Linked DNA regions of Neodiprion lecontei. The protein of the gene in region 2 purifies or fractionates together with the protein of the main gene of each other region. This does not show direct contact. Links are inferred from orthologs where the notes say so. Each region holds a gene or a part of one and is shown on either strand. Other genes may lie near its edges.

What was found.
Region 1: the proteins of exportin-6-A (region 2) and zinc finger matrin-type protein 2 purify together in Homo sapiens (co-immunoprecipitation; 3 studies listed by BioGRID and IntAct, with this or other methods). This does not show direct contact. The link is inferred for Neodiprion lecontei from reciprocal best matches to the Homo sapiens genes XPO6 and ZMAT2.

What each region holds. Positions count from the first base shown.
Region 1 is NC_060265.1:7,534,751-7,539,022, forward strand, and holds zinc finger matrin-type protein 2, read left to right. Parts: upstream 1-1,784; 5' UTR 1,785-1,912; coding exon 1,913-1,924; intron 1,925-2,133; coding exon 2,134-2,354; intron 2,355-2,441; coding exon 2,442-2,515; intron 2,516-2,649; coding exon 2,650-2,795; intron 2,796-2,853; coding exon 2,854-2,997; 3' UTR 2,998-3,643; downstream 3,644-4,272. Other genes in the region: adenosine kinase, read left to right, coding at 161-334, 448-718, 925-1,194, 1,319-1,531. UniProt on the Homo sapiens protein: Involved in pre-mRNA splicing as a component of the spliceosome.
Region 2 is NC_060264.1:2,805,950-2,814,192, reverse strand, and holds exportin-6-A, read left to right. Parts: upstream 1-1,986; 5' UTR 1,987-2,218; coding exon 2,219-2,221; intron 2,222-2,589; coding exon 2,590-2,793; intron 2,794-2,910; coding exon 2,911-3,105; intron 3,106-3,193; coding exon 3,194-3,353; intron 3,354-3,450; coding exon 3,451-3,710; intron 3,711-3,985; coding exon 3,986-4,149; intron 4,150-4,381; coding exon 4,382-4,688; intron 4,689-4,762; coding exon 4,763-4,855; intron 4,856-4,931; coding exon 4,932-5,100; intron 5,101-5,208; coding exon 5,209-5,368; intron 5,369-5,438; coding exon 5,439-5,794; intron 5,795-5,862; coding exon 5,863-6,190; intron 6,191-6,335; coding exon 6,336-6,533; intron 6,534-6,616; coding exon 6,617-6,895; intron 6,896-6,981; coding exon 6,982-7,147; intron 7,148-7,250; coding exon 7,251-7,328; 3' UTR 7,329-7,715; downstream 7,716-8,243. Other genes in the region: SWI/SNF-related matrix-associated actin-dependent regulator of chromatin subfamily A containing DEAD/H box 1 homolog, read right to left, coding at 478-668, 779-981, 1,193-1,301; alpha-aminoadipic semialdehyde dehydrogenase, read left to right, coding at 8,025-8,201. UniProt on the Homo sapiens protein: Mediates the nuclear export of actin and profilin-actin complexes in somatic cells.

The DNA.
Region 1 (4,272 bases), on a different chromosome or scaffold from region 2:
CTCGTGCTCTTTTAGTTTTCAAGATCAAAACAGTGAAATGAGTACGAATTGAACTATTTTTCAATTGTTCGATGTAATGTCTAACATTCAAATCATTTACGTGAAATAACCACATAGAAATAACTCTTCGAATATTCAGTATTTAATTATTAAATTACAGATCAGAGCAAAATATCAGTCCTGGAGGCTGTGCTCAGAATACAATCAGAGTTATTCAATGGTTGTGTGGTGGACAGAGTGGACCGCAACTGGGATTGTTCTGTGGAGGACTTGGAAATGATTCTCGGGGGAAAATACTCCAAGACATGGTTCGAGCAATAGGAATTGATGCTCGGTATTTTGTTTATCTATGGCATACGACCAGACTTAAATTTATGAATTGCAGAATACATCTAACAGTCTGATTTATACTAAGGTTCTAATGCCTGATTCTTAATTTCCTCCTAGCTATGCAATTCACCCTGATCTACCAACTGGTGTTTGCGTATCAATGGTAAAGAGACCATGGCGGAGCCTCGTAGCAAATTTAGGTGCTGCTAGTGTGTATACTTTGGATAATCTGGCGCAGCATGATTTGCCGTTAAATTCACTGAAAATAATTTATATCGAAGGATTCTTTATAACGCATAGTTTTGACGTTGCTTTGGAGTTGGTGAAATTGGCTCGAGATAAGGGTATTACTGTAGCATTCAATATCAGTGGCGAATATATCTTCCAGGTTACGTTTCTATACTTGAATAATGTGAAAAATTCTATTAATTTTGTTGCTAACCTACTAACAATACATTTTATTCCATTGGAAATCTTTTCGACAAAGCCTAAATTAACTTGGAACTTGTTGTAAAGAGTTTTGTACTGATATAAAATTACAAAAAATATAGTATGTACTATTCTCAAGACATTCAAACTTCTATATTCTTTTAGGAGCATCAAGTTGCCATTTGTGATATGGTTGGTTTGTCCGGAATTGTATTTGGTAATGCCAGAGAGATGACAGCTTTGGCTCGCGTATTAAATCTCCAGTTCAACAATGTTCAGGAGATCCCATTCCTTCTAAACAATTTGAAAAGGGTCACAGTTGGTGCATCTAGTAAGAATGATGGCAACTGGTTGTCAGATGAGGGTATCATTGTGATGACTCAAGGTGGAAAATCTCCTGCCATCGTCGTTTGGGGAGAGGGTGAATCTGCACAGGTACAAATTGAGGATTTTAATCCTGAATGATAACTGAAAGAATTTGCAATAGCGATGTAATAAATTTCAATCTTAGAATAGTGAAATTACAGGTAAATGAATACAGCTTGAGTTTAATATCTAGATAACGTTTCAGGTTCTACCCGAAATTCCTGAAAACCCTGTACTGGATACAACAGGTGCGGGTGACTCATTGGTGGCTGGTTTTCTGCTCGGTGCTTTAGTTGGACGTAGTCCAAAGGCATGCTTGAAATTGGGCTGTAAAGTAGCAAGCATGATCGTTACTAGAGTTGGCGTAACCTTTCCAGAATCAATACCGGCCCATTTACTACAATAAATATACAATACAAAATTGGAATCTCTTCAAAGCTATTTGAACTTTCATCTAACAAAATAAATAGACCTAGTTAATTTAAAAATTTTTGACTTCATTTTTAAATTAATTGCCTGTGTGTCAGTCGGTAAAAGACCGTGGTCGGTAATAATTCCGTGATACATACCTCGTGCTCTAAGGGGGTATATCACTTGGTGTTTTTCTTTTATCAACGCAGTTATGAGTTTATCTCTCGTTCTGTAGATGGCGTTACAACTAAATTGGCTTTAGCTATACTAGTGGAAAGTGAGGAAACATCAAACAGAAGTGAACAGAAGTTTGGGTAGGAGCCTTAGCTGCAGGATTATTTACGTGCGTAATAAACGTTCAGCACTTATCGTCACAATGTCCTCTACGGTGAGTAAAATACAAATATTTAATAATAAAACGCAGAAAATTAATCGTACACACATTTTTGATGGTATTCTCTTACAATGAACGATCGTAACCTCAAAATTCGACAAACAACCTACGAAGGGTATGATAGTTTGTTAAAATTGTGAACTTTACTGTATTTTGATGTAGTATATCGCTTCATGGAATATTCCATAATTTTTTTATTTCAGCGTCCTGACGATCATCGTCGGAAGTGGAATAGGGAGGAATATGAACGTATAGCGCTACAAAGGCTTCAAGATGAGATTGCCGAAGAGGACTTGGGTATTCCTAAACAGCCAGCGGTTAAAAGAGAGCTGCTCAAACAGCGTGATTACAAGGTTGATCTTGAATCAAAACTTGGAAAAAGTGTTGTCATCAATAAAAATACACCATCATCGCAGACTGGAGGGTAAATTTTTCAAATCTATTTGAAAACTTTTGGCGATTTATCACAGTAAATATTTTTAGTTCTTAACATGCTTTTTCCTTTCTATAGATATTATTGCAATGTCTGCGACTGTGTCGTTAAAGACTCCATCAACTTTTTGGATCACATTAATGGCACGAAACGTAAGTTTACAAATTTTCATTTATTATGATAAAAGATCTTCTCAATTTGTCGACCTGCATTTTAATCAACATATGTCCATTATTCCATCTTATTTCCCTTCATGCGTAACTAATAATGTAACTCCCACTTACAGATCAACGTAACTTGGGAATGTCCATGAAAATTGAACGCTCATCATTGGATCAAGTTAAAGCGAGGTTCGCTCACAACAAAAAGAAATTGGAAGAAAAAAAGAAAGATTACGACCTTGAACAGAGAGTAAAGGAATTGAAAGAAGAGGTAATTATTGTTTTGAAAAAGTCGTTATCGGTCAATAACCGATTATGTTTGTTCTCAGGAAGAAAAAATCAAGGAATATCGAAAAGAGAAGAGGAAAGATCGGAAGCGGAAGTTAGACGAGGCCAATGAGGACGACGCAGGACCTTCTGATGAAATGGCTGCAGTTATGGGATTTTCTGGCTTTGGCTCAAAAAAAAAGTGAGATAAAAATAGTGAAATTGATATGTTTCATTCTCTACTTGATGCGCGTGTAATGAACATGTTCCCAAAGTGTACACGGACGACTAAGATGAGTTTGACATCTTCAAGTGCAATTGTGATAACTCAATTGTCATGTTTCTGTTGGATGCTCATAGGATGAAAATCTGCGTTTGTTTGACCAGGTAAATTACATTGATTATAAACTATAATTTCTCATGAAGTGAATTATTCGTATTCTTCTTAATTAAAAAATTAAATAACAGATATATGAATAACTGCATGTCGTATATTTTCGGAAGTATGAACTGCGAGAAAGAAGCAACATTTATCGAATGTACGTATTATAATTTTATTTGCAGTGAACATTGTCGGTAACAAATTAATTCATAAAACGTGTTTCACTAGAAAGTATACCGTACAGTGAAAATATAGAATAAATACAAATTAATGATATTTAACAAAATGAAAGTAAGTGAATAATAATTTTACATGAATAAGTTAACCTGTTATAAAGCAAATGAGGATATGAAAAAACAAAGATTAAGATTTTGATTGAATATCAAACATACTGCCACATTAGTTTTAATTGGGATGGAAAGCTTTCACCTTATAAACTTTGTCATATTCGCAAGAATAATTGGACAACATTTTTTCTGGACTTAAAGTCTTTTCTACCCATGTTTCACTGTTTATATCATGACGTCTACGTTTTCGCGGTATTTCATTGGTACCTAGATAGTCGTTGCCAGTCGTAGCATCTATTTTATCTTGATTATCTAACCATTCTCTCACAAATGCTTGTACATTTTTCGAAACACTTGAAAAACTGTTGGTGGCAGAAAATCTGCTGGTACTGTGGTCTGAAATATTTGAGTTACAGTCACTTGTTTCAGGAAATGGATCTATCGATAAATGCTGGATTTTTGGGAAACTGTTTTGAGGTATGTTAATCGTTGTAGATGCTTGACACTTTTCTTCAGATGTGTTACAAGCTCTGATCACTTCTGTGTCAGTAAAATTCTGATTTTGATCAGAAACATAGGGTCGCTGAAGATGTTGCTTTGTTAAGCTGAATGCAGCAATATCTTCAAGTATTGCAGGTTGCTTCGGCAAGTAAAAATTGCCTAGGTGTTTTTTTTCACCGACAAAATTTTTAGATTCGTACTTGGGACTGTAGGTATAGTTCAACTTAACAGGTGACCTGTTTTCTAGTTCTGATTTTTGCTCTTTTATAACCGAGTTGCAGATCCTGGATGAAAATTTCATTGTATTTTCA
Region 2 (8,243 bases):
TATGTTTCTATGCGTTAGATTTAGCAAAATATAGCCAATCTACAATACTCATAATATTTTCAGAACTACCACTAAAGGCAGACACAAGAATAACTCTCAAAACGATTAAAATTATTGCATAAATTAGATAGCTGAATAATGTATGCTGTAGAATTGTAACAGACCCAAAGCAACATAAAATTAATAATCATTTATACCTATTACAGTTACTGCTGTACCAGAAACAATCTTATGCATATGACTATGCTAGTGAATGGTAAAAGCTTGATCTCATTTAATTTTTAGAGAATCCTGTACTCATTTAGTTTCACATATACCTACATTACAAAAAGATAATAACATATTGTTACAAATAAAATTAACTCCTTTATATCACTTAAGTATAATGGAAAGAACAGTACAATGATTAAATACATACTTCAAAAATCAGCATTCAAGCATGTTTCTCTGAAAAAGTTTGAAGCCATCAAAACTCACCTATCGAATACCCTATTCTTGTAGTTCTTTTCATCTGAGTCATTATCAACATCCTCGTCGTAATCAACTTTTCTCCTTTTTTTCTTACTAGACGACAACGGTTTATTGCCAAGTCTCTTCCGCTGGCTATTAAGCTGTCTCTCTGCTTCATCCGTCTGCCAGTTGGAGTTATTTAGCGCTTCGAGAATTCGCTGTACAAACAGAAAGAAACATAGAATTAAGTATCTGAAATTAAAAATGCGCCAACTTGGGCATTGGCTTGAATTTGACATGAAATTTGGCATTGAGACATGGAACAAACCGGAGCATCGAGGCGAGGATACAATGTACTCAGGTACTTGAATTTTTCTTCCCTTTCTTTGGTTTCTGGTTTATTGTCAACGTGTGGCATCGAACCTTGCAGCTTAGTCGGGCTTCCCACATCGCTGTCACTGTCTTCGATCCTGTTCACTGGCTTACGTCGTATTTGGTTTCCAGAACTCGTCAGGTTACTGTCTTCATCAGCTACAGGCACAAACATCAGAATTTGGTTTTGTTACATGTATTGCTAAAGGTGAGGATAGTAATAAAACAGGATGGAATGGGGGTAAGAAGCTGAAAGAAAAACGGAAAAGAAAAACTGAGGTAAGGTGATTTGAAGTGAATTTAAGTGAAACGTTGAGAAGAATAACGATTGCAATTGCAATTACAATGAAAAATTTTCCATGGGACTTACACGTGTTCATCTTTTTCACTGGTTTTTTCTGAAATCTAAATTTGCGTAAATTTTCCAAAAGACTGTGGCTGCCCGTTGATTTAATCTCAAATGAATTTGAATCTGACATATTATCCCGTCAACTATCGGTGTAGCGCGATAGAGGTGACATTTCGTGGTGTTTGAGATTCTTTCTTTTAGTTTTTCAAAGGCAACCTCCAACAAATGGAGATTATAATAACAGATGCACGGACCCAAGCCGTGTATACTACATGTAGGTGTATATTGTAGAGTATGCAGTTTGTATCTTTAAAATGTAAACGCTTCACTCGATTCACGATCTCGCGTTGCGGAATTTTCACCGCTGAACTTGTAGAGGAAAGATGGCTAATACACGACTCTTGGCGACGGCCGAATGATGGCCGCGAAGTTGGCGAACACCTGCAAGATAAATCATCCGTAGTTTTTTGTGATGTCGAGTCGAGGGTCTTCGTTCAGTTCTCCATAGCGTCGATAGTTTATGGTTCGTAACGAGGGTTTCGAAATTCGATTATTTTCGAAAAGAATGCTGAGGATCTTAATTTTCTCTTGCTTAAACGTCTCCGCCAGTTTTCGAAAAACCGAGATCTTCCAAGTTGCATCGAACTACTCCGTGATAGATCTGCAGCTTACGGACAGACACGTCTGCGAAGAGGTAATTAGTCTCAAAGAGCCAGCCGCTGCTTGAATACGAAATATCGATTTCATCGGTAGAAATAGTCGATGGCTAGAAAAAAGAAATAATCGATTATTCATGTAAAAGAATACGAGTGGAATGGAGGTCGAGTCGTTGCACGGCTAACTTCATAGGATAATCCAACCTTGGCTTTAACTCCCACAGTCCCACCGCGAAGTGCGGAGCGATTGGAGTAACGTCTGTAATTATCGCGGATGGTTCGTACGCCCGGGCGATTCGGTGCTACTGCTGTTCGCATCTATGCGAAAATAAACATCTTTTTCCTATAACCATCCGTCATCAGGTCAGCTGTCAATTGTTGACCGATCAAAATGGTAAGATATCTCTCAGAATCAGTCACACCCGAATACGACAAAGCTGTATGACAAGGGCCGCCGTGCATATCACGCAGGGCGAGACAATCCTGTATAACAATACTTGCGATCCTGCCAGGGTTTTCAGTTACACTATTGCTTCTTCACTGTACTAAAAATTGGTGGAAATATCAATCTGACTTACCGTTTCTCTGATTATTCTTTTCACGAGCTATCTGGGGTCTGGTTAAGCCCCACCTCTGCTTCCCTTTCCTTCCATAAGCTTCACAAGTCTCCAAGTTATCTTTGCATGTAGGTCGCTTCGAACAAGCGACATTAGGCATGCTCAGCTTCGATCAACCTGTTATGGAAGATAGTTTTCTTTACAGGACAACGATGCAGCTGTGCTTCGGAGGCTGGAGCAACTGATGACTGAATTTTTCTCACCACAAACCAGCAATGATCAAAAACGATCAATCGAACAGAGCCTTCATGAATTCGCGGCACAAATCGACTCTTGGAGGCTGTGTCTTTACTTTTTGTCATCAACTGACAATCGCTATGTCAGCATGTTTGCACTCACTACTCTCGAGGCGAGTAAAACTGCTCTATTAGTCATTTTTAGTTTTTTTTTTTTCTCTCTCCTTTAAACCAGTTGCATTTCCCATGTGCAGAAGCTAATATTTGGTATCTGATTGCTTCCAATCCAGCAGACAGCAATTGGACGTCGATGGCCAGTGCTGGGATGGGAAGACAGAGCTATTGTAAGATCAACGCTGTACACTCTCTCCCTAGAACGTGGTATAACTCCGTTTGTTCGGAACAAGGTGGTCAAGTTGGTGGTTGATATCGCCAGGCATGACTGGCCTCACTTTTACTCCGACTTTTTCTCAAATATTTTACAGGCACGTACCTAGTTCGGTGCTCTTTGTGGCTTGCGTTTAAAAACATTTGTATTTAGATGTATAATCGATGAAACACGTTTATTTGTAGTTATTAGGTCACAGGCACACAAGACTATTGGGTCTGGTTTACCTGAAAACTGCTTCTGAGGAATTGGGAACCCCGAGAGAGGACTTACCACTTCACCGAAAAGCGGAATTGCTTAGGTTGTTCAACAGTTTGGTACCAACCGCCTTGGATGTTCTTACAGGTGAATAATTTTATCAACATGAAAGAAATAACAGTAAATAGAATTCTATTATTATGCTGAGAATATTTATGACTTTGTATCCTTTCTGTGAATTTAGAACTTCTTGTCGAAACAACCAAACATCAGAATAGGTCCGGCACAATAACTCCGCCACCTTCGCCGACGGGTGCTCAAAGTGCTCCTCTCCAAGGGAGAACTGTTTTAGATGTGGAAGGACTTGCAGCTGGTAGCGGGGAAATTTGCACCATCACCCTGGAAGTTCTGGCACATTTGTTCACCTGGATAACTCTCACTGATCATTTTTCTACCAACCTATTGAACGTTATTTTCACCTGTGCCAAGTATCGTGATTCAATGGTAATAAACAATAGTTATTAAATAATCCTGACTAGAAACGATAATCTAAAAGTCACCAATTTCTTTTGGAGGCTTATATCGCTTATGTAATACTTCTAACTGATTCTTTTCCGTATTGTCAAAAGTTTAATCTTCCCATTCAGCTGTCAGGGCTTTAGATTGTTAAATCATCTAAGTAATTCAGCAAACTCTTTATACCGTGTCTTGTTTCTCTTTCTGCAAAAAACCATGAAAAAGAGTTGCAAAATTAATTAAAACAAACATGAATTGAATAGAACGGAAGGCAGATTGAGACAGCCGTGCAAGCATTGACGACAATAAATGAACTGTTGTACCGCCCAAGCTCACCGAGTGCCACAGAGAGCTTGCTGCTGCAGATATTTCAACGAGGGATAGAACTATTTCAATCCATAGAACATCTAGAGTCCATCGACGAAAGGTGATTCCGATTTACAAGTTCCAATCGTTCCCGTCTGACCGTCCGTCCGTTCATCCACCTATCCCTCCCTACGTTAGGCCGGTTGTAAAGAAAATACTGGAAAGTTCGTGACGACGGTTTTGCCGTCGGTAACTATTATATGTATGATATAATACTTGCGCTAAAAGTGATAATGAGAACTAAATCCAATTAAACATATGCTAATTATTGTTTTTGGGGTTTACTTTCTTAGCTACTTAGAAAAAATGACCGAGTATCTGCAGTTATTCGTTACAAATCACCTCAAAAAGGTTGAATCTTGCCCAAAGTTTCCCGTCAATGCGCTTCTCGAGGTATTATACCATCACACGTTTCAACGCTGCATCACACCGATGGGGTATACTAGATCATTGGAGGTTTGGTCCATACTGCTGGAAAGCACTCAGGCTCGCTATGCCACAGTCGCTCTCGCGCTCGCAGAACGCGTCTTACAAAAAGTCACCTTCAAATTTAACGCGCACACTCTAAAGGTTCTGGACACTGATACATTGGACGAAAATGTAAGTGGTTTACCTAATCGTGCTTTATCTCACCTTACAAAAGATAATCTCTAATTTTTCAAACATTTTTGCAGGATGAGACGGAGTGGCAGCATTTTTTACGCTGCAATATCGAATGCCTTGCCAAAGTTGCAGACATCTCTCCTATACCGGTGTTCACACTGCTGGTGCGATATTAAATCTTGTATCTTTTTTCCCAGGGACTATTTAGGTATATATTTTATGCTACTTTTATGTTCCCAGTATCAATCCTGGCGGGAGAGTCTATCAGTTTACGCAAAGTTAGGTTCAGCCGTAGCAAGTGGTCAGGTAGTTGTCCTAAACGATTCCGAAGCTTCTAATGTAAGAATTCATTTACGGGACTTGGCGTCCATGACTCAGGCTCTGGCTCGATTGTATGTTCATTTTGTTGGTAAGTTGTATCATTTGAAGTTCATGTTGAGTGATGAATTTATACTGGAAAATACGAAAAGCAGATTTTCAGACAAAGGAAGAAAATAGGTTTACAATTCTTTTGAAGACAAACGTTTTGGAAAAATAGGGGATCAACCAGGGATCGATTGCTCATTGGCCGAGGAACTAGTTTCGCAAACTTTCGAAGTCTGCACTTTTGCCAAGGACAACCAACTGCACAGGGCCAATCTTCAGCCAGTTGAAATACTTCAAGACCTAGTCGAAGTGTAAGCTTATTGGTCAAATATTCGTATGCACGTTTTGCTCAAAAAAATTTTCTCATGCTCCGTCTTCCAGAAATTCACAGATGTTGGCTTCACTCCAGGCATGGTGCCATTGGATATCGGAAAGGCCAGAAAAATTGAAGGACAGTTTAAGTCAACGATGCGTGCAGTCCTGTATTTGGGCCTTGATGCCTAACACGTTTCCCCAAAATTTACCGCCAAAATTTGTTCACTCAGCTGCGCATCTGATGCAGAGCACAGTTTCTATTCTCAAACCAAACCTCTGGGATCAACCTGCATTTAGTGATTTAGTTGTTGCTGGCTCCCATCCGCATCTTAATCAGGATACCGCAAAGGTCCTCAGGAGAGCCCTGGTCAACGGAATAATTCTCCCTGCTGGAGACATCGGAGCGCGGCAAAGACTAATGGGTAAGAATTAACATAGAGATGACGTTTGGTCATTTTTCATCACGCGAATTATAAATAACTTCCCATAGGCACGATGGTCACGGCTCTTTCGCATCCACTAGGAGGAGAGGGGCAGCCGGTGCCTCCTGAAATTGTAGTATCATCGTCGGTACTATCACTCAAAGAGTTGTTGGAAGATTGTCGTTCGTCGTCTACAGCAATAAAAAAACTCTTACACACTAATCTAGAATCAACAGTGAATCGAGTACTGGAACTTCTCCCTCATCTCATCAGATTTCCAGGAACATGTGAAACATTGCTTAGCTTTCTCCACAGCGCCTTTGCTGTTCTTCAGCAACAACTGGGACCAGAGTATACACAAAATGCGGCGCAAGCTATGCTGCACATCTTTACTCGGTAATAAGCATTGTTAAATGTGTGAAGTAAATGGGATGTCTGAAATAGCAGAAATGTTAAAAAATCTAGCGAACAAAACTTACCAACAGCTTGAAAATATCAAACCTTTTTCACCTTCGTTAAATTCTGCATCAATATTTTACAGTGAAAATATATCGATCGGACCAACGTTGGATCAGCTCCTGGAAATATTGATTTTGGTTGTGTCAGCACCTGGCAGAGCTTTCAAAGCGTTCGTGCCATCAATAACAGACTTGTGCTTGAGCAATGTGTGGCCCGTTGTCAGGAGTGATTTGAGCGATCACCCGGATACCACCATAGTTTTATTACGCTTGTTACATAGGTAAAGTGTAACGATTAATCAACTTTACGATCAATTATTCAATTTTATGGGAGTAAAATCCGTCCATACTTGTTTCTTTGCAGTATTTTAATGCACCATTGGCAGTACTTTTACAACTCATCCGTACTACGGACTTTCGGTAATCCCGACGAAGCGGAGCCGGTTGAGCACAGAGAAGAGTTAGTCGCTATTTTGGAAGCGTTTGGTCAGGCGTTACTACAACCAGACGTGAACATATTTCGTCAGAGTCTTCAGAGTCTGGAACAACTAAACTCTAGATGCCGTCTGTACCAGCGTTCTATTTTCAAAACTAATTTACTTGAGAGATTTTTGGCAGCACTTTTTACAGTTTTGTTTCAAAGGTATAAAAAATTTTTTCTTCTCATTTAGAGGAATTTTAAGTGTGTCTACGAATCTGGTCAACAATCTTATATTCATCCCATTTCAGATCTCACGATCTCTTGGCCGACGAAATAGCGACTGCAGTTCACAGTCTTGCGCTTGTCAACTGTGATTGGTTTTTTGGTGAATTTTTGCCAAAATTTTTAACTGGATGTGAGGGACTAGACGACGAACAGAGATGCACACTTTTAGAAAACTTTGACCGAGCAACAGTGAGTATTAATTTTATACTTTATTATGCAATGTAGATGGAAGATTAGTTTACCTATAAATACATAACACATGTTTCTAATTCCAATTTTTTTGTTTTTTCAGGATCAACCGACATTGACAAGATCTGTTCTTCGTATGGTGACTGATTTGAGGTGCTATCAATTTTGTCGGACTGTTTAATATATGTATTATACATACATATCTCCTTTCCTCCACTCTCATATAAATGCGCTAGTACATTACATGACTTTCTGTATTTTTGTTACGAAACGAAGACAAAAAAAAATAATTAACGGTAAAAGATAGTAATTAATAGCCGGCGATAGTCTTTTCGGGAAAAGCATTGATATTTCATGTTTCAACTTCGGCGTACAATTATCAGTCTCGAGTTTTAAAATTGTATAATTATCAATCGCATTCACCCGATGCAGCAAAATACTGCCATATCTATACATTGTATATTCCTATTACGTAGAATAAGAGAGTCAAATGAATTTTATTCGCCCGTTCAATTATTTATGTATAAAACTTCATTATTATGAATAATTATTACAAATTATGAAATTTCTAAATCACTTGATTCATCTATCCCTCGTCCGATATTTGTTGAAATATACAATTTTTATAAAAAGAACCAAGTACTGTCTATCAAATGCGATTGAAAAATGATGTGGCAAACTGAAAAGACCAGACAAAGTGCATATCTATGCATTCGTTTTGTAATGGTTACGTACGTTATGGTCTGTTTGTATTTGTCACTCCGTGAGTGATAAATAACGATAACACCGATTCTGATAACCCGAGACCTCTGTTTGACGTTATTTCATTACTATGGTCTGTGATTATGTTAGTTATTCTTGGGAAACATAGTCGACAATGGCGAGAATCTTGCTGTCAATAAGAAACTTTGGCCGATTTACCGGCAAGCAGAAAGCAAGATTTATTCCTATCAGAAATCTGTCATCTAAGTCGGAATTAGCTTTTTTAAAAGAACTCGAAATTGGACCCGATAATCTTGGATCGTTTGATGGCAGTTGGGGTGGTTCAGGCCCGGTGAGTTGACCCGACGATAATCAAGGTTTGAAAAGCCGAGTT